Linked DNA regions of Sus scrofa. The main gene of each other region encodes a partner of the protein of the gene in region 2 in a complex. Links are inferred from orthologs where the notes say so. Each region holds a gene or a part of one and is shown on either strand. Other genes may lie near its edges.

Region 1 (10,077 bases), on a different chromosome or scaffold from region 2:
CTGGGGGTGAAGTGGAGAGGCTGGACCTCATGGGGGACAATGAGTTCAGTTTTAGGGTGATGAATCACGAGCGGCTAGGAGTCCTGCTCTTAGGAGACCAGGACCTTGGAGGAAGGGTTGTCCTGAGGTTTCTGCAAAGAGTCGGGTAGAAGGAAGGTGCGCAGGGCTTGGGGTGGTTGAATCTAGTATCTTCCCTTCAGAGTACAAATGACTCAGTCCTGGCCGTTGGCTTCAGCCCTCGTGACAGCAGCTGCATTGTCACCAGCGGGAAATCCCATGTCCACTTCTGGAACTGGAATGGTGGCGCCGGGGTTCCTGGGAATGGGACCCTCACCAGGAAACAGGGTGTCTTTGGGGTGAGGTGTGGATGGGGGCAGGGCGGTGGGGGAGGGAGGGCAGAGCGGAAGTGGACGTATGGGTCTGAGCACTGTAGCCCCTGGTGCCCTTCAACTCCCAACTGTCTTGTGACCTTTAGCCTTTGCCCCGCCCTTTGACCTCCGCTCTCTGCTCCCCTCACCCCTAGAAATACAAGAAACCCAAGTTTATCCCCTGCTTTGTGTTCCTCCCGGACGGAGACATTCTCACTGGGGACTCAGAGGGGAACATTCTCACCTGGGGGCGGAGCCTCTCAGATTCCAGGACCCCAGGCAGGGGCGGGGCCAAAGGTAGGTGGTTGGGGGTGGCTTCCAGGAAGGCTAGTTCCCCAGGGGGGTCTGTGGACACTGAGCAGAGGATTTCCCATCCTTTTACCTTGAGAGGTGATGGCGCTCTATCAGAGAGTGGGACCCTCGGGGTGGGGGTGGGGGTGGGGGTCCAGTCTGGAAGGGTAGGGGCGGCATGGCAGAGGGAAAGGCCTGCGGCTTTGGAGTCTGCCAGATGCTGGGTTCAAATCCCAGTTTTGCCCCTAGTTGTCTGGCCTTTAGGAAGTTACTTCACTTCTTTGAGCCCTGGGAGAAGGGCTGAGGCTCAGAGACACCATCCAGTAGGCAGCCAACAGCCAGGTGTTCCTACTCGATTGTGACGGCCTGGGCTGCTCCTGTTCCCCACGTCCCTGCACCCCAAAAGCGTGACCCAGCCAGGACTTTGCCAACAGAGACCTACGGGATTGTGGCCCAGGCCCACGCTCACGAAGGGTCCATCTTCGCCCTGTGTCTCCGGCGGGACGGGACCGTGCTGAGTGGTGGTGGGCGGGACCGCCGGCTGGTCCAGTGGGGGCCCGGGTTGGTGGCCCTCCAGGAGGCTGAGGTGAGGCCTGGGCCGGGGACAGAGGAAGGAGGGGGAAGAGGAATGGTCAGTGGCGCTCTAACTTTCTGCCACCACCCTGCAGATTCCGGAACACTTTGGGGCCGTGCGGGCCATCGCAGAGGGGCCTGGCTCTGAGCTGCTGGTGGGGACCACGAAGAATGCGTTGCTGAGGGGAGATCTGGCTCAGGGCTTCTCCCCTGTAATCCAGGTTGGCGGGGGGGCGGGGCACGGGGGCAAGGGCTCCAGGAAGCAGGGAGGGGAGAGCTTTTGGGGAGCCGCAGAGGTGACAGCCCATACTCTGCTGCAGGGTCACACGGATGAGCTCTGGGGGCTCTGCACGCATCCCTTCCAGAACCGATTCCTCACCTGTGGCCATGACCGGCAGCTCTGCCTGTGGGATGGGGAGGCCCATGCACTGGCCTGGAGCCTTGATCTCAAGGTAGGCTCTGTGTCCCTGGATCCTCCTTGTCACCCCCACCATGACTCCTGTGGTCACCCCTCCTTCGCCAACATCCCCTTCTCTTCTGCTCCCAGAGGCAGCCAGTTTGTACTGGTGTGGCTGTACCGGCAGCTAAAATGTTCATTCTTCTGTACAGATGCCTCCAGCGGCCCCTCAGCACTGCCCTCCCTCAGCCCCTAGACCTCCCCCTGCCTCCACCCCAGGCCTCCTGTCCCTCTCCTCATTGAGAGGAGGAGGCTTTAGTGTTTTTTCCTTTTTGCCATTTCTAGGGCTGTTCCTGCGGCATATGGAGGTTCCCAGGCTAGGAGTCTGATCGGAGCTGTAGCTGCCAGCCTACGACAGAGCCACAGCAACGCAGGATCCAAGCCGCGTCTGCGATCTCACGGCAACACCAGATCCTTAACCCACAGTGCGAGGTTGGGGATCGAACCCACAATCTCATGGTTCCTAGTCGGATTTGTTAACCACTGCGCCACGACGGGAACACCGAGGAGGCTTTAGTGTTATCAGGATGACAGGGTATCCACCTTGGTTCCCTAGAAAGGCATCTCCCTGAATTCACTTTCTGCCTTCTCCCAGGAAACTGGTCTCTGTGCCGACTTCCACCCCAGTGGTGCAGTTGTGGCTGTGGGACTGAATACGGGGAGGTGAGAGGGAGCTGGGACTCCTGGGAGGGGAAAGCAGGAGGTATGGGAAGGGTTTCTGGGAATGGGGTGTGTGTGTGGGAGTGTGATCAGTGCCTGCTCAGGAGCCCCAACTGCACCTTCCTGCTCCTCAGTGCTTTTCCCTGTAGCCCGGGTCTCCCCTGTGGCAACTGTCACCACATCCTCCCTTCTAAGCCTGCGAGTGGAGGAGGTGGCAGCTCGGAGCAGAGAAGCAGCAGGGATGGAAGGGACCTAGTGAGGACTGACACAGGGAAGTGACAAACTTAGAGACGCCACAAAGCCCTTGTAGTTGGGCCCCTGTACCCCCAGCTGCCTTTGATCTGCCCTTAGCCCCCTGCTACTTCCCAGCATAAGAATGCAATGGCAGGAGTTCCCTGGTGGCATAGTAGGTTAAGGATCCAGCTTTGTCACTGCTGTGGTTCAGGCTCCTGCTCTGGCATGGGTTCAATCCCTGGGCCAGGAATTTCTGCATACCTCAGGCACAGCCAAAAAAATGCAATGGCAACCTCCCTGTCTGCATCATAGCTTTTCTGGGGGTACCTCTGGGGCACGCGGACTTGCTCACCACCACCCTGCCCAGGACAGGGATCCTCACACCTGCTTTCTGCCCCCCGCCCCCCCCGCGCTTCCAGGTGGCTGGTTTTGGACACAGAGACTCGGGAGATTGTGTCTGACATCACTGATGGCAACGAGCAGCTCTCAGTGGTCCGGTACAGCCCAGGTGGGAGCCACCCCGACCCCGGACCTAGACTCGCCCCTTGCCCTTCCCCCTCTAAGTGACTGTCTTTGTAGATGGGTTGTACCTGGCCATCGGTTCCCATGACAACATGATCTACATCTATAGCGTTTCCAGTGATGGTGCCAAGTCCAGCCGCTTTGGCCGCTGTGTGGTGAGGAAGCTGGGGTGGAGGGTGGGGCAGTGACATAGCAGGTAAACTAATACACTTCAGGAGGGTTGGGGAGGGGAACTGCTGGCCGCATTTTTAGTCTTTTGACCCTTGCTCCCAGGGTCACTCCAGCTTCATCACGCATCTTGACTGGTCCAAGGATGGGAACTTCATCATGTCCAATTCTGGGGACTATGAGATCCTTTACTGTGAGTGACAGTAGGGGAGGGCACAGGGAGAGGGTACTTGGGGTGGGTTTTATTTGTGTGGGGGGCTCCCAGTTGGGAGGGGATGAAGGGCGATGTGGGGAGCTCCAAGTGGAGGGGCTGTCAGAGAGGGGGTGGAGATAGGTCTGAAGTGGAGTCAGAATTTTACACATAGGAGAAATTCTGTCATTTGGACCAAAAAAACCCCACACCTACAGTTTTACACTATGTCTTGACCCGCAAAGGCCTTGAGGGAGTTGAAAAACGCACTAAGAAAAGATTGTTTTGGAAAAGTTTCTCCAGACAGGTGTGGAGGGATTGACTTATCTAGGGAGGAGGAACTGGGGAGGAACTATTGGGAGAACTTCAGCTGAGAACTCTGGAAGCACACGGGAAGTTCCCCCTGGAACAGTGTGGTAAAGATCCAGCCTTGTCACTGCTGTGGCTCTGGTTGCTGCTGTGGCAGGGGTTCCATAGATGGCCCAGGAACTTCTGCATGTCACAGGTGCAGCCAAAGAGGAAGCACGTGGGCTGAGTTTTGCCCTGAACTGAGGGCTACCATGGGGACCAGATCACATGCCAGTGCCTCAAGTATTTCCAACTTGGCCTTCTATGGCATCTTCCAGCTGAGGGCAGGGTGAGACCTGATCTGGGTGGGCTCCCTCTCCCCAGGGGACGTGGCTGGAGGCTGTAAGCTGCTGAGGAATCGCTATGACAGCCGAGACCGGGAGTGGGCCACCTACACCTGCGTGCTGGGCTTTCATGTCTATGGTGAGCAGGGACGCAGGGCCCCAGAACTATGCCTCGAGAGTCGGGGGACAAGGTGCAGACTGCCCGGGGCTCGGAATGCTGGGCATGTGTGGAGGGATGGGCAGATCCAGCCCTGGGGGGCCCCTCCAGCAGGCCCTTGGGACCGGGAAAGATTGCCTGGAACGCGGCTGGTGGGTGGCGGGACTGACTGAGCGCTGGAATTGGTGCAGCTCTGGGCTGTGGGTGGTGGCGGGGAGGCAGGGCTAAGGCCGACGGCTGTGCTAGGCGTGTGGCCGGATGGCTCTGATGGAACCGACATCAACTCCCTGTGCCGTTCCCACAATGAGCGCGTGGTGGCTGTGGCCGACGACTTCTGCAAAGTGCACCTCTTCCAGTACCCGTGCGCGCGCGCCAAGGTGAGAGGCCTCCCAGGGCCTCCGGGGACGGCAGGTCAGGGCCCTGGGGCTCCACGGCCGCTGCAGCTCGACCTTCCCTCCTGCCCAGGCGCCGAGCCTCGTGTACGGCGGTCACGGCAGCCACGTGACCAGCGTCCGGTTCACGTACGACGACTCGCACCTCGTCTCGCTGGGCGGCAAGGACGCCAGCATCTTCCAGTGGCGAGTGCTGGGCGCTGGGAGCGCGGGGCAGGCGCCTGCCACGCCCTCTCGAACTCCCTCGCTGTCCCCCGCCTCCTCTCTCGACGTCTGACCGCTGCCCGACGGGACCCACCGGCCCTGCAGCGTGGCCCCGCCCCGCCCAAGTTTCCCAGGACCCGGGCCGACCCAGTCCTAGACTTCGAGACATTCCCGAAAGCTCATTTCCCTGCAGGGGGCGAACGGCACCCCTGCACACACTGTAAAGACCCGCTGGCTGAGCCGGGCAGCCCCAGCCTGGGCCCTGACTCCCGCTACCTGCTGAGGGGCAATAAACCAAAAGCAAAGTCGCCTCCCGGTCCTTTTGTCGGGCGCGGCTGGGCGCCTCGGGGCTCTGTGGGGTGGGGTGAAGGAAAAGGGGAATGCGGAAAGGGTGAGGGAGAGTAGACCTTTCATGCAAATAACAGGCAAAGCCGCTTGCAAATAACCCCGCGGAGTGCGGAGGCGCTACGAGTCTTTCGCCGCCGCGGGACTCGGGCGAGGAGAGAGTTAAGCCCAACTCCTCTCTCGCCCTCGGAGGCGGGGCCGAGCCGCAACGGAAATAACCGAGCGCCGGGACGCGATTGGCCGGAGGGAGCCGAACTTCTTCCGGAAGTAGCCGAGCTTTGAGGTCTCGCTCTCCGACCGGACCCGAGCGCTGGGCCTTGTTCTCCGGATCCGCCGAAGGTGTTCCGGAAGGAGGCGAACCCCGAGGCGGGCAGGGCAAGCCTTCGCGGCGGCCCGCAAAGTCCAACGTCTAGTGGGGCTCGGCGAGGGCGGGAGAGCTGGAGCCTGGCCCGGTCCGGCGGGAGCCGAGCTCGTTCCGGAAGAAGCCGAGCGGACCGGCTACGGCCTCGGCGTCCCGGGCGTGAGGCGATAGAGGCGGTGGCGACAGCGCGGGCCGGGATGAACCGCGACGGCTGAGGTGGCGGAGGTGCCGGCTGCGCGAGCCAGACAGAGACTTCTGCGAAGCGCCAGCCCCACGCTCAGGGCTTCGCTTCGAGCCCTGCCCCCGCGAGCCTCCCGGACCCCTTTGTGCGGCCGGAGGCGGCGGCGGGAACGGCCATGGCGGCCAACATGTACCGAGTGGGGGGTAAGTACCGGGCGTAGGGGCTGCGGGGCCCGGGGCGAGAGAGGTCGGGGGCCGGGACCGGAGAGGCTTGGCGCCCGGCGGCACGGGGAGTCGCGTCTGGGGCGGCGTGGTCCGGAGCGCGGACCGGAACCGGAACCGGTCGCACGGGGAGCGAGGGCGCGGGGACCGCGACGCGGCGGGTCACCGAGACTGCCGGAGAGACTTCGGGCGGCCCGACGGCACTCGCAGGGCTGCGCCTGGCGCCGCCGGGGTCGCGGGGTGGGCTTGGGAAAGTGGTTCCGAAGGAGCTGACAGGGCAGGCTAGGGGGCGCGAAGGGCCGGGGCGACCGCTTTGCCATCTGCGGGGGAGCAGCCGGGAGGCTTCCTCTCCCCAGGCGTTATTGTGCGCCTGGGTTCGCAAAGGTGGGGGCCCTGCGCTGGAGTGAACAATTGTTCGCTTGGCCGACACCGGGTGCAACTCCATCGCTGAGTTGCGGCGCCTGCTGGGGAACCCCCTGCTTCTGGGCTCCTCCTTAAGGCTCACTTTTGGGTGGTTAGGGGTGGCGGGTGGGGCACCCCTCCCTTACGTTCTGTTAGTCTCTCCACTTCCACATTTCAGCGACTTCTCTGCCTAGACCCTTTTCTCCTTTGGGTCCACTCAGGCCTCCTTTTCGTTCCTCCTACTCTCGTGCTCGGCTCTCCCATCCGCTCCTCTGATCTTCCCGGTTCTTCCCCACCCCCTCCTACAGATTACGTCTATTTTGAGAACTCCTCCAGCAATCCTTACCTGGTGAGAAGGATTGAAGAGCTCAACAAGGTGAGTGGAGCAGAGTCTTCTGGGCTCCCCCCCCCCCCCCCCCCCCCCCCGCCCAGTCCCTCCCCTGGTCTCTAACTTCAGGTGAATGAGAGAGGGAGGGAAAGAGGAAGAGAGCAGGAGAACATGAAGCCTGTTCTAAGTATTCATTCATATTCATTCATTCATTTGTTCATCCCATGCATTCAGGAAAGGCTCTTGACACCTTAGAGGATCTTGACTGTTCTATAAAGGGATTTGGAAGTCTGTCCTTAAATGCAAACGTCTTGATTCATAATTTCTTGGGTTTTTCTTATATCCTTCAGAAACCTGTTTGATGTTGTTAGTCTTGTCTTTCTGCAGTTCTACTTTCAAATGACTAGTTTTCACAGTGTTTTTTTTTTTTATTTTGTTTTGTTTTCTCTCTCTCCTTAGACGGCAAATGGAAATGTGGAGGCAAAGGTTGTGTGCCTTTTCCGGCGAAGGGACATTTCTGGTAGCCTCAACAGCCTGGCTGATAGTAATGCCAGTGAGTGTCTTTGTACCCCCGTCTCCCCCTGCCCATGATCTGAAACCTGGGCATGTCCGTGCAGGTGTTTCTCTTGGTATCATGCTCAAGGCAGGGGTGTGAGTTTGGGGGTGGGAAATGCCTGGTCTGCAGAGGGAGGCCTGTTTTTACACGTTGGGTTGGAAGCAGTGTGGAGAAACCATGACATGAAAAGTGAGAATTTGGCTGGTGTGTATTTGTGTGTGTGTTTGTGTGAGTGGGGTATGTAAAAGAGGTGGTAATGTTTAAAAGGGGGATGGAGAAGAGCTCTAATTTGGAGAAGCAACACTCTTGGGGACAGTTTTGGTTGTGTTGGGACAATGGGTGGTGACTGCGAAGGTCAAGGTGAACAGGAAGAGATTGTACTTAAAAGCTTGCATAACAGGGAAGTAGAGGGTTTTGTGATCAAGGGGGTAAGGCTATATTGATGGGAGAGAATAGGAAGCCCAGAAGGTTTTTTTTTAAGAACTTTTTCTCACCCATCCTGGCCTCTCTTCTCCATTTTACATCTTTCGTTTTTTTTTTTTTTTTTTTTTTTTTGGCCCTATCCGCTTTCTCTTTACGCTTTTGTTTTTTCTTGTTAAATTCATGTCTTTCAATTCCCCTTAGTTTTTTTTTTCCTTTCCTGTTTTGGCTTTCTTTCCCCTTTCTCTTATTCTTCCTTTCTAAATCATTTTGCTTACTTTTGGCGGCTTTGGGTGTTGGGCATGAAAGGGTTAATGAGCTGAGCCTACCAAGTTCTCCGGCCCTCTGGGGTTTCCAGTCCCATCTGGCAGGGGCTGACCTTGGCCTTGTCCAATCAGAAAGGGTGTGGGGGGTGTGGTCCCCCTTGCCTTCGCACAGGGTTTCCGGAGTGCTCAGAAGAGGGGTGGAGCCTACTACTGCACACCCCTGCCCCCCCTTTCTCCCTGAGGTTGGGAACAATGCACCAATGAGCCTGGGCCTGTGGCTCTTCTGCTCCCTCCCTGTTTGGTTGGCACCCAGCCAACTTAACCCTTTCCACCAAGGTTTCAGAGCAAGTTACAGCTCCTTGGGGAGGAAGGTGTTGGCACTGGCTTGAGAGGTACTGTCCTTGAAAGCCCCACAAATTATTATTAGCCAGGTTGAAAACAAGGGATAGTTAGGGTTGCATGTGACCTTTAAGAGCAAAGTCTTCTGAAATTTGCAAAGAACTGGTAAACACACCTTGTGTGGTGTATTTATTTATTTCTGTGTTTATTTTTAATTGGATTTCTGGAGCCTAGGCAAGTTTAGCATGAAAGAGACAAGTGTGATATTCTTGCTGGGCCTGGTGTGGTCAGATATAGGCTGTATGAGTGGTGTCTGGGCATTGGCACCTGGGCTTGGGATGTATTCCTCTGGCATCCTTGTACCCTCTGTAGCTCTTTCCTAAGAGCATTCATTAATGATGGAGACTTGGGAGCATCAGTAACTGGGAGAAGGCTGGGAGGGAAAGCTCGTGTGGTAAGGTCGTGGAAGGCAGGTGCCTAGGGAATGTGGGAAAAGCAAGTAAGATAGGAAATATTTTCCTTGGGTTAGGGTTTCTATGGTGGCTTCTTTATGAATTAGTTTCTGACTTGGTCTCTTCCTCCTTCATGTCCCAGGGGAGTTTGAGGAGGAATCAAAGCAGCCAGGGGTGTCGGAACAGCAGCGACATCAACTGAAGCACCGCGAGCTTTTTCTTTCTCGGCAGTTTGAATCGCTACCAGCCACCCACATAAGGTATAGGACAGTCAGGGCTACTTATTTAGGAGTTGGAGAGGAGGGGCTAGCGTGTTGGAGATGCTGAGCAGAGGAAATGAGCTCACCAAGGGTTTTCTGACTTCTCTCCTGAAGGGGGAAATGCAGTGTGACCCTCTTGAATGAGACAGATATCTTGAGCCAGTACCTGGAAAAGGAGGTGAGAAAGAGGTGGGAGAAGAGGGAGGGGGGTGGGTATTGCCCCAGAAGGCAAGAGGAGAAGTCAGACTGTGGTGAGGTCCAGGTTGACAGGCTGCCTGTCCTAGGGACTCCGGATATAGCCCACCGCCCCCGCCTGTGAGGACTGCTGCCCTGCTTACCTTCTGTCTTCCCTTCTCCAGGACTGCTTTTTTTATTCGCTGGTGTTTGACCCTGTGCAGAAGACACTTCTAGCTGATCAGGGAGAGATCCGAGTTGGTTGCAAATACCAAGCTGAGATCCCAGATCGCCTGGCAGAGGGTATGCCCCAGAACAGAGTTGTCTACCATCATAGTTCCTGAATGGTGTGCCCTGGCGCTGTGTGGTGCACTTTGCACAGCTCTGTGCTGTGTCCCTGACAGAACGGGACCTTAGGAACCTGAAAGGGGCAAACGGGCACATTGGGAAGAGAAGTCTGAGAGTTGAGGTGGCTGATAGGATCCAAGGAGGAAACAGGTGTCATTGTGAGTGTCAAGACACCTCTTATTCTCCCCGGTGATGCCATTTCCTCACTCCCCAGGAGAATCTGATAATCGGAACCAGCAGAAGATGGAGATGAAAGTCTGGGATCCAGACAACCCTCTCACAGACCGGCAGATTGATCAGTTTCTCGTGGTGGCCCGGTGAGGGGTGGGTGGATGGGGAAGATGGGCTGGGAAGGGGGTTGTAGACATGGTTCCGAGTCACTTTCTTAGAGACGGACTAGATTTGTTTGGGGCCCAGGTGGTGCCCTTGTTTTGCTCATCTGGCCTAGTTCCTCAGCCCACTCTCGCGTTCGTCTTTCCCTCTTGACTCCTCGCTCTCTCCCTTAGGGCTGTGGGGACCTTTGCGAGAGCCCTAGATTGCAGCAGCTCCATTCGGCAGCCGAGCCTGCACATGAGT
Region 2 (9,883 bases):
GATATGGAGAAACTGAAAACCTTACACATTGCTGGTAGAAATGTAAAATGGTACAGTCACTATGCAAAATAGAGTGGCAATTCCTCAAAAAGTCAAACATAGAGTTACTATGTAACCCAACAATTCCACTCCTGGGTATATACCCCAAAGAATTGAAAACATATTCACAAAAATTTGTACACAAATGTTCATAGCAGCTCTATTCATAATAGTAAAAAGTGAAAACAAACCAAATATCCATAAGCTGATGAATGGATAAGCAAAATGTGGTCTATCCATACAGTGGAAATACTCAGCCATGAAAAGGAACAAAGTCTTGATACATGTTGCAATATAAATGGACCTTGAAAGCACTATGCTAAGTGAAAAAGGCTGTACACATATTGTATGATTTAATTCATAGGAAATGTCCAGAATAGGTACATCCATAGGCATGGAAGGTAGACTAGCAGCTGCCTAAAGCTATGGGTAGTGGGGGATGGGGAGTGACTGCTGTTAGGTATAGATTTTCCTTTTCAGATGACAAAAATGTTCTAGAATTAGATAGTGGTGGTGATGATCACAAAACTCACTGAACTGTTGAAGTGTGTGTGTGTGTGTGTGTGTGTGTGTGTGTGTGTGTGTGTGTGTGTGTGTGTGCATATATATATATATATATATATATATATATTTTTTTTTTTTTTTGGTCTTTTCTAGGGCCGCACCTACAGCATATGGAGGTTCCCAGGCTAGAGGTCTAATTGGACCTGTAGCTGCTGGTCTATGCCACAGTCACAGCAACGTGGGTTCCAAGCCACATCTGCAACCTACACCACAGCTCATGGCAATGTCAGATCCTTAACCCACTGAGCAAGGCCGGGGATTGAACCTGCAACTTCATGGTTTCTGGTAGGATTCGTTGACCACTGAACCACAACAGGAACTCCCTGAACTGTATATTTTATTTTATTTTATTTGGCTGCACCAGTGGCATGCAGAAGTTCCTGGGCCAGAGATTGAACTCCCACCATAGCAGTATCAACATCTCGAATCCTTAACCACTTAAAAGGATAAATTTTATACTAAGTAAACTAGATCTCAATTAAAAACAAAAGGAAAAATATTTTTCAATAACGATTAGTGAGGGGGATGGTGGGCAGCATGTTAAAAACACAACATAGAAAGAAAAGAGCCCACAGCATCTGTAGAAGGGACTGAGGCAGGCCACAGAGATCTGGATTCTTGCTGCAAGGAAATGGAGGTTTTGTCAAACAGCTGGCAGGTGATGGAGCCAGAATGAATACCTTATGAGTCCAATTCTTGTAGTTTCTAGCCCTTCACTGGTTCAACAGGAAAATCGCTAGCTATCATGGCTACTGAGCACTTGACCTGTGGCCAGTCTGAATAAGGATGAGCTGTAAGGGTAAAATACAGTTTGGGTTTTGAAGAGTTTAGTATCATAAAAAAGAATGTAAAGTATCTTAATAATTGCTTTATATTCATTATGTATCAAAATCATACCATTTTGGGGTATATTATGTTAAATAAACTATGTTATAATTGAGATTAATTTCACCAGTTCTTACTTTCTAAAATGTGACTACTAAAACTTTTAAATTATTTGCGTGGCCTGCAATACTTTTCTTTTAGACAATGCTACTCTAGAGTACTGGTCCTCTAGAGGCAGGGTAGCAAAAGGGTGATATTAATTTATTCGTGAAAAAAATTTCACTGAGCATTCTTAAAAAAAAACGTGTTTTTTTTTTTTTTTTTTTTGTCTTTGTCTTTTTCGGGCTGTACCCGTAGCATATAGAAATTTTCAGGCTAAGGGGTTGAATCAGAGCTATAGCTGCCAGCCTATGCCATAGCCACAGCAGCTCAGGATCTGAGCCGAGTCTGTGACCTACACTACAGCTCACGGCAATGCTAGATCCTTAACCCACTGAGCAAGGCCAGGGATCGAACCTGCATCCTTATAGATACTAGTCGGGTTTGTTGCCGCTGAGCCATGATGGGAACACCTAAAAAATTTTTTTTTATTATAGTTGATTTACAATGTTCTTGTCAATGTCTGCTGTACAGCAAAGAGCTCAGTCATTCATACATATATACATACATACACACATATATATATATACTTACACACACTTCTCACATTATCTTCCATTATGTTCTATCACAAGCGATTGGATATAGTCCCCGGTGCCTAACAGCAGAATCACTGAACATTCTTGGCTGAACCAGCCTAAAGCTTATCACAAGGGGTGCTGAGAAGGGAGTGTCACCTGTACCTTCATTCCTAAAGGGATGGAGGGAAGGCATGGATGGTGTCCCTTTGCTTTCAGGCAAAAAGGTTGATGCCTTCCTCAGTAGATCCGGATGTATCTGAATGTCTGTGGCTAATCAAAAAAATTCGGCAAAGCATGGCGATTACAAAGGGCAGAAAAGGGTGGGCATCTCTTGTATTTTGACAAGATTTACTATTCAAGCAGAACTCCAAGAAATAATACCTTCAAAAGCTTCATCACCTAATGCAAAATACATTTGGTGATTGTGTTTCAGTCAGATCTGAGAAGTGGGCTGGGGTGGGGGTAGAGGAGAGTCAAAAATTGCAAAAAAATTCTCCAGGAGAGAAGAAACTTTGTCAAGTTTATTCTGTATCTTTAGCACCTGGAACAGTGCACCGCACACAGTAGGCGCTTCTTAAGTATCTGAATGTGTTAAGATGCAAAATTGTGTGAATGTTCGGGTGTATTTTCCAGGGGAGGAGGCTGCTGGCTTTTGTACAGTCTCAAAGGTGTCTAGGCCCCTAAAGGGTTAAAACCACTTAATACCGACAGGGACGTGAAATTTATTTGAAATCAATGTCAAAAATTGGTTGTTCTTACTCTGGGGTGTAGCCAGACCTTGGCGTCTGGAAAGATCTACGCGCTTAAAAATACCACTCGCCACCATTTTCTCCAGGTAATTTTCCATCCCTGCCCCCACAGTCCAGGGGGAAAAAAGTAATTCTGCAATCCTACCTAGCTATTAAAAAAATTAATCGGTAAAAGAACAAATCTTCAGGCGCCGCCTGCGTAGAAGAAGAAAGGGACCCACGCGGGCCTCGGGCGCCGCCGGGACCCCAGCCCCCCAAACTTTGCCAAGTTGCGGGCGCCGAGCGCGCCCGGAGGCGCGGGGCGCGGCAGCGGGCGGAGCCGCCCCCTGACGCCGGGCCGCGGCGCGCCGGGCCGCCCCCTCCCGGCCCGGGCCGGCCCCGCTGGCTCCGCTCAAAGTTTGCGGCCGCCCCTGCGCCCGCGCGCCCGCCCGATGTATGGGTGATATACTGCAGCGGGTGTCAGGGTGAGGGACGGCCATATTTGCCGGTGCGGCCCGAGCCGTCAACAACAAAAAGTGCGCGGGAGCTCGGCGGGCGCACGGACGGGCGCACGGACGCCGGGGCCGCCTCGCCGCCGTCCGGCCTCGCCGCCGCCGTCGCCCTCGCGGGCCTGGCCCCGCTGCGCCCCGGCGCGCCCCGCCGCTCGGGGGGATGTCTTACAAACCGAACTTGACCGCGCACATGCCCGCCGCCTCCCTCAACGCCGGTAAGTGAGTGCGCCCTGCGGGCCGCGTGCGCCGCGCCCCAAGTGCGGCCAAGTTGAGGGCCCGCGCGCCCGGCCCCGGCCCCGGCTCCCGGGGACCCGCGGCGGCCGGGGGTGGCAGGCACCGGGTCCCGGCCCGGGGCAGCGGGGCCGCCGCCGCCGCCGCCATGATTCTGGCGCCCACGCCGCCAAAGTTCGCTGGTGCGCCCTGTGCCGCGCCGGGCCTCGGGCCGGGCCGGGGCCCGGGGCGCTGGCTGCCGCCGCGGTCCCCCCCACGCCGGCGGCTGAGGGCTCGCGGGGAGCGCGGCGAGCGAGGGCGGGGGAGGCTTTCTCGGCTCCGTTTTCCTCCGGCTTTTGGGCGGCTCGGCGAGGGCCCCTGCCGGCGGGAGTCGGGAGCGGCCGGGCCGCGCGGGGAGCGGGGCTCCGGGAGCGGGGCGCGGGCCGCCCTTGGGGAGCGGGGGTCAAGCCCGGGCGGGGGCCGAGACTGCTGCGTGCACGTGAGCAAGGTTAGGCCACGCGCGGCAGCGCTGCGGGGTGGCGAGCGTGCCAAGTGCAGCCCGCCCTGAGGGCCCGGGGCCGCTGGGGTCACCGGCGGTGCAGGGGACATCATCGGTGGCGGCTCGGCCTGGCGCGTGGGAGCGGGGTGCCCAAAATGGGGCTCGCGGCAAGGTCCCCTCAGGCGTGTGCGGCAGAATGAGCGAAGTTGAAGACCCGGGGTTTCGGAGTGCCTGCAGGCGGAGGGTGGGGGCGGCATTTCGGCCTGGGGCCCGCATTTCGGGGCCCCGCATCTTGAGCCCCCAACTCTGGGTTTGGAAGGTCCCCTCCCGCAGAAGCCTAGGGGCCGTCCTCTCCCTTCCTTGGGGCTGGAACTGGACGGTCCCAGGAAACTCCTCCAGAAGTTGTCAGGCAGCTTTAGGCTGTGTCCAGGGTCTCCTCCCAAGGACGAAAGGCACCGGGGGGAGGGGAGGGTAAAATTGTGGGGTTCGGGGGTGATTTGCTCTTTCCCTTCACTATAGCCCTTCTCCTTTGGACTCTTGGTGGGAAACAAACTTCCAAAAAGCTAGGCGCGTGGGGGCGTGGGGGGGTGTGATTGGCGGGGAGGAGACTGGCGTCTCTGGTCCGAAATGCCACGCTGGCAGTTGTCCGAAAGTTTTGAGCCTTGTCTCCAAATGGTTGACTCCATAACTCCAAAAATCCTATAGGGGACCCAGAAAAGCAATGCATGTAAATAAATAAATATTTATTTATTTTTTAACTTCTTAGACACAGATTGGGGAGTGGAAAGGGTTAAGATTCAGGATGTGATTGGGTGGGGGATAGCTAAGTTGGTCAAATGTGGGCTCTAAGCCTCAAGAGCAAACAGCCACTATTTTCTCTTCAAATGTTCTCACCTCTTCTGGGGTCTGCAAACCTTATAAAGACAAGCTTTGCTGCCTGTAGTATTTCTCACTGCCTCCTTCATCTGACTGTGGTAAGGATGGAGGGTCTTGCTGCTGCCTGTACAGGTGGGATATCTCAGGCCTGCCCTGGTACAGCTGAGGCAGGGACCCTAAACTGGGACCTTTGGGGACTGGGGTCACGGTGGCAGAGGCAGCCACTCAGCACCCCTGAAGTCCTGTTCTGGGCTGGCTAGCACCTGTGCACAGATTTTCTTCTTTCTCCTCTGGTGAACTCCAGGAGGAGTGCTGAGGTCCCCAGATCTGTGGCAGGCTGCTCCCCTCCCTGTGGACCCCTTTGGAAAGCCCGATCTCCCCCTGCCATTTGCATCCAAGATGGACTCTCCGCTGCCGCTCCTCCGGCTTCCTTGTCATCATCCCTCACGCCCTCCAGCCCTGCCTCCTGCTCGCGAGTTGCCAAGCCGCGGCCTGGCCGGCAGTGGCAGTGGCTGAGTTAGACAAAGCCCCTGCCTCCCCGCCAGAGAGCCCCCCCAGGCGCCCCAAGTGGCGGGAAGGCCGCCAGCTCCCCAGGCCCAGGCTGCTCTTTGTCTGGCGTGGGGGTGGGGAGCCGCGCCTGGCCCCAGGAGCTGCTGGCCTCTGCCAATCCCTCCCTCAGCTCTGGGCCCTCCCTGGTCCCCCGCACACTGCGCACATTGTCTGCGATGCTCCGAGACGGCCGGCCAGCCGTGCTCACGCCCAGTCTGGTTTTCTCCGTGGCCTTCGGCAGCCGCTGGCCCTCCCTGTATCTGCGGGAAGGAGTGGGCATGAGTGGAACTCAGGGCCCTTCTGCAAACTCTCCCTAGGGCCACAGATACCCTCCCCGCCAACAGCAAGTGAGGCCACTGATTCGGGGTCCCTACCACATCACCCAGGGCAAGTCAAGCCCTGGGCTGTTTCCCATCTCCCCCTCCCTCCACACCCCTAACCAAAACGTGGGGGCTCTCCTTCCTCCCTCTTCCCAGAGCTCCCCTAAGACCTAACCCCAGCATTGCGGAGGAGTAGGAGCTAGAGCCTTTAGACATTCTGTTAGGAACCATTGCCTCAAACTGACGGATAAACTGAGGCCCAGAGAGGGAAGGGCCTTGCCTTAAGTCACACAGCTGAACTGGCTCCTAGTCCAGGCCCTTGCCTGTAGGAGAGAAGGTGGGGTCAGGGAGGCAAGAAATGCAAAACAGCAATAAGAGGAGGAGGACAGGTGTCCAGCTCACCTCCTGCCAGGGAGTTGGAATCTTCTAGATGCCTCAAAGTGCTGAACAGTGCAGTTCACCCCCCACCCCTCGCCCCCAGTCTTGGCATTTAGCATCCTGGCCTTACAGAATGGTGTAATACCTTGTAGTGGCCAGGACTTGAACCTGGGCCTGGGATGGCGAAGCCTGAGCTACCCAGACCGCACTCACCACCCACATCAGAAGATCAGGAAATTGGGGTTTGGTTGATGTGGTGAGGAGACCTGGGGTGTGGGGGACACCCGCCCTGCCACACCTTCTTGTGTTCTGGACACTGCACACTCACAGTTGCCTCAGACAGAGGTCCCACATGTGCTCACGTGCTTGTAGTTCCATACCACAGGTGTTTCAGCATCGCTGCTCTAGAGGTGTGGCAGTGAGGCTCCGAGCAGCACAGCGCTGTGCCCAGTCTGCAGCCTAGAGGTGGCAGAATCCATGTTTCCTGACTGCACATCTTGTGCTTGAGCATAAATCCGGGCCCCAGTGGAAAAATTCCAGGGCAGGCTTGAGATTGGGTATGGGGCTGTCCCCAGCTTCTGGACAGAGGGACAGGTAGCCGCTTCTGCACTGTGTGGCCTGGGGCAGTGCCCACCCTCTCTGGTCTGTGTTGCTCTCTCTCCAGGGAGGGGCTCCAGGGCTCCTTCCAGTTCTATCAGCCTGAGCTCCTGACTTCCTTCCTCCCTGCCCCTCCCCTTGCCCACACCAGATGAGCAGCTGGTCGGTTTGGCCGGCCTGGCACCAGCTGTCCATCCCCGGGGCCAAGTCTGCAGAGCCTGCTGTGTGCGTGAGAGAGGGACCGTTTGGCTCTGGGGGCGGCAGGCAGAGGGGAAGCTGCTCCCCGGCCAGGCGTGGAGGCAGGCGGGCAGCTGCTGAGGAGGGCTAGGTAAATTCTCCATGGTTACCGCTGTTTGTAATTCTGCAGGACATCCTTTACCCGCTAATGGCCACTCGGACGCCATTACGGGTCTGCATGCTTCCAGCTACTGAGCTGGAGCTGGAAAATTCCCTGTTGAGCATCTCCCAACTGCCATCTGGGAGACTCCATTCTGGGCCTGGCCCTGGCCCCACGTGGCCCCTCTGCTGCGGGCCAGTGTCTCCCAGTAGGGTCTGACCCCTCCTCTCTTGGGGTGCAAGCCATCTGGGCATAGACTCAGACTGTCAAGACTCTTGTCCCCTCTTTGGGGAGAGGCGACAGGAGCTCAGAGGTAAGGGACTTGTTTGAGGATATGCAGGCTGGGATGTACTCCAGATTCCTGACTTTGTATCTAGAACACCAGTCCCCTGCTAGGGTTGGGTCTCAGAACCTCTCGACTGTCCCCCATCTTCCTCACGATATAGTCCAGCAGAGGTTAGGGCACAGAGGAAGTATTAGCCCAGGAGCAGGCCAGCCTTAGTGGCAAGTGGGCTCCTGTGGCAGGCTTGTGGCTCTAGGGTATCAGCCTCTGGGGAGCAGGACCCAGGGAAAGGGGACTTGCAAGGGTTAGGCAGGAAACAGCAGCAGATTTCATCTTTGGTACCAATCTAGACTGAATGGATGGGAAGGATTTCTGTGTTTGATTAGCAATGTCTGCTGTGGTGGTTGGCGTATGTGAAGATCAGGAGCCTATTAGCTATATTTTACCATCAATCATCTAGGCTGCTTGTCAGCCATGGCCAAACCAGGAGCAAGAGTAGGGTTCTCTGTCCTTGGAGATAAAAGAGTACTGTTGATGGCTTGAGGCCTGAGCAGGAGGACTGAGAGTCCTCACCTCTGGTACAGTTAGCCAAGGCTACTTGATTATTAACTCCTGTCTCCTTCCCCGTAGCTGGGAGTGTCCACCCGCCCTCCACCAGTATGGCGACATCTTCACAGTACCGCCAGCTGCTGAGTGACTATGGGCCACCATCTCTAGGCTATACCCAGGTACAGCAGGGGGGGTGATGCCCAGGGGGAGGGGCTCTGAGGGCAGCCTGGGCCCTGAGGGGGAGCTGTGGAAGGAGTAGAGATGAAGGAATGGAGCGGTCATCTGAGCCTCCTCAACTCAAGGCTAGGGCTTCAGAACAGAGGGGTGATGGGAGTTCCCTTATAGCTCAGTGGGTGAAGGATCTGATGCTGCCACTGCAGCGGCCTGGGTCACTGCCATGGTGCGGGTTCAATCCCTGGCCTGGGAACTTCCACATGCTGCATGTGGGAGGCTGGAAACTCCAAGAGCCACAGTCCTGTTGGGACCACCAGCCCACATATGTCCCTGGGGGTTTTCATGCTTTGTTCCTAGGGAAGTGAGGTATGGCCTCAACTCTTGCTCTGAGCTTGGATAGAGGCTGGTGTCAGGGGGTGCCCATTCCCACTCATTCCCCACAAGGTTGTGGCCCCGTCAGAGAGGTGGGGGCTCATGTCCTAGTGGAGTCCGGGTGGGTTTCATAGAGAGCTGGGGGCCCCTGAGTTTCACACCTGGTTCCACCAGTTACAGGACCATGACCCCTACTTGGCAACCTTGCCGAGACTTGGTCTTCCCACTGGGTTTGGGGGCCATCAGTGGAGAAAGCCAAGGAAGTGGTGCCCCAAGGGCCCTCGGTGCCTGGGCTGCCAGCTGTGAGGTTCTCCCCTGTAGTGGCTGGAACTCATGTTCCGAGGTCGCCATGGAGGCCAGCCTCTGGGATAAGGTGGCGGCTCTTGGCCATGCCCCGCCAGGCTGTCCTAGCCCCCAAGGGGAAGTGGGCGCGGACCCCTTTGAAGAGGCGGTGGTGGGAGGACGGTGTCAAGTGTGGCCTGGATAGGCCCCACAGTGCCCTGGCTGTGAGGCAGCGGCCAGAGGAGAGGAAGGGCCACGGATTCCGGAGGAGGCTCCTGGAGGATGCTGAGGAACAGGACAAGGAGAGGAGGAAGGATTGGGAAGCCAAGAAACAGGCAGCAGAGGAGGGAGGAGCAGGCGAGGGTCTCCCGGTCAGGACACAGCTGCTCTGATGCAGCTGTGGGGAGGGGGACGGGAGAGGGAGGGTTGGGGTGAGGCCCGAACTGGCAATCTCCGCCCACAGCCAGGCAGGAACCTGGTCTCATTGATCTGGGTGTTTCCTCAGGCTGCTAGGGGTCTGGAGAGAAAGTTCTGTGCCGTGGGCCCTGCCAGTAGGGGAAGATGGATGAATTAAACATATCTGGGGCTCTGGTGGTTTTTATAGTCCTGCCAAACCAGGTGTGGCCTCCATCTCGTCCACTCACTCCGTCCCTCAAGCCCGTCCATCCTGCTCCTTCCTAGGAAATTCCCAGTGAACCCTTTCCTGTTGACAAGCCAGTCTTTTTTTTTTTTTTTTTTTTTTTTTCTTCTTTTTTCATTTAAGATGATAACAGCTTTCTGTAGACTGCTGGGTGGTTTCTCTGAGTGCATAGGGACTGTAGGGAGTGCCGGCTCCTGGTCTGTAATTGTCCCCCAGAGAGGACGAACCTGGCTCTAGCAGAGGCAGGAACCTTGAGAGTTTAGGCCAGGCCACTTTCCCTCCACCATCTGCCCCTGCCCTTGCGAGACTGGCACGTGGTGGGGCCTTGACCATGGCATTGGGGTCAGGTTGGGCTCAATCTATCTGAACTACTTTTTTTTTTTTTTTTTTTTTTCCTCTTTTAGGGCTGCACCTGTGGTATATGGAAGTTCCTGGGCTAGAGGTTGAATCAGAGCTGCAGCTGCTGGCC

The links.
Region 1: CDK2AP1 (region 2) and MTA2 share a complex: the UniProt entries of both Homo sapiens proteins name them as parts of the nucleosome remodeling and deacetylase (NuRD) repressor complex. The link is inferred for Sus scrofa from reciprocal best matches to the Homo sapiens genes CDK2AP1 and MTA2.

The regions. Positions count from the first base shown.
Region 1 is NC_010444.4:9,132,496-9,142,572, forward strand, and holds the start of MTA2 (metastasis-associated protein MTA2), read left to right. Parts: upstream 1-5,322; 5' UTR 5,323-5,910; coding exon 5,911-5,938; intron 5,939-6,086; exon of another isoform or gene 6,087-6,340; intron 6,341-6,666; coding exon 6,667-6,734; intron 6,735-7,145; coding exon 7,146-7,239; intron 7,240-8,861; coding exon 8,862-8,979; intron 8,980-9,093; coding exon 9,094-9,157; intron 9,158-9,338; coding exon 9,339-9,456; intron 9,457-9,715; coding exon 9,716-9,818; intron 9,819-10,007; coding exon 10,008-10,077. Other genes in the region: EML3 (echinoderm microtubule-associated protein-like 3), read left to right, coding at 201-356, 524-665, 1,094-1,245, 1,328-1,453, 1,553-1,684, 2,285-2,352, 3,003-3,091, 3,163-3,260 and 4 more. UniProt on the Homo sapiens protein: May function as a transcriptional coregulator. Acts as a component of the histone deacetylase NuRD complex which participates in the remodeling of chromatin.
Region 2 is NC_010456.5:29,627,831-29,637,713, forward strand, and holds the start of CDK2AP1 (cyclin-dependent kinase 2-associated protein 1), read left to right. Parts: upstream 1-3,253; 5' UTR 3,254-3,508; coding exon 3,509-3,563; intron 3,564-3,956; exon of another isoform or gene 3,957-4,066; intron 4,067-8,027; coding exon 8,028-8,125; intron 8,126-9,883. UniProt on the Homo sapiens protein: Inhibitor of cyclin-dependent kinase CDK2. Also acts as a component of the histone deacetylase NuRD complex which participates in the remodeling of chromatin.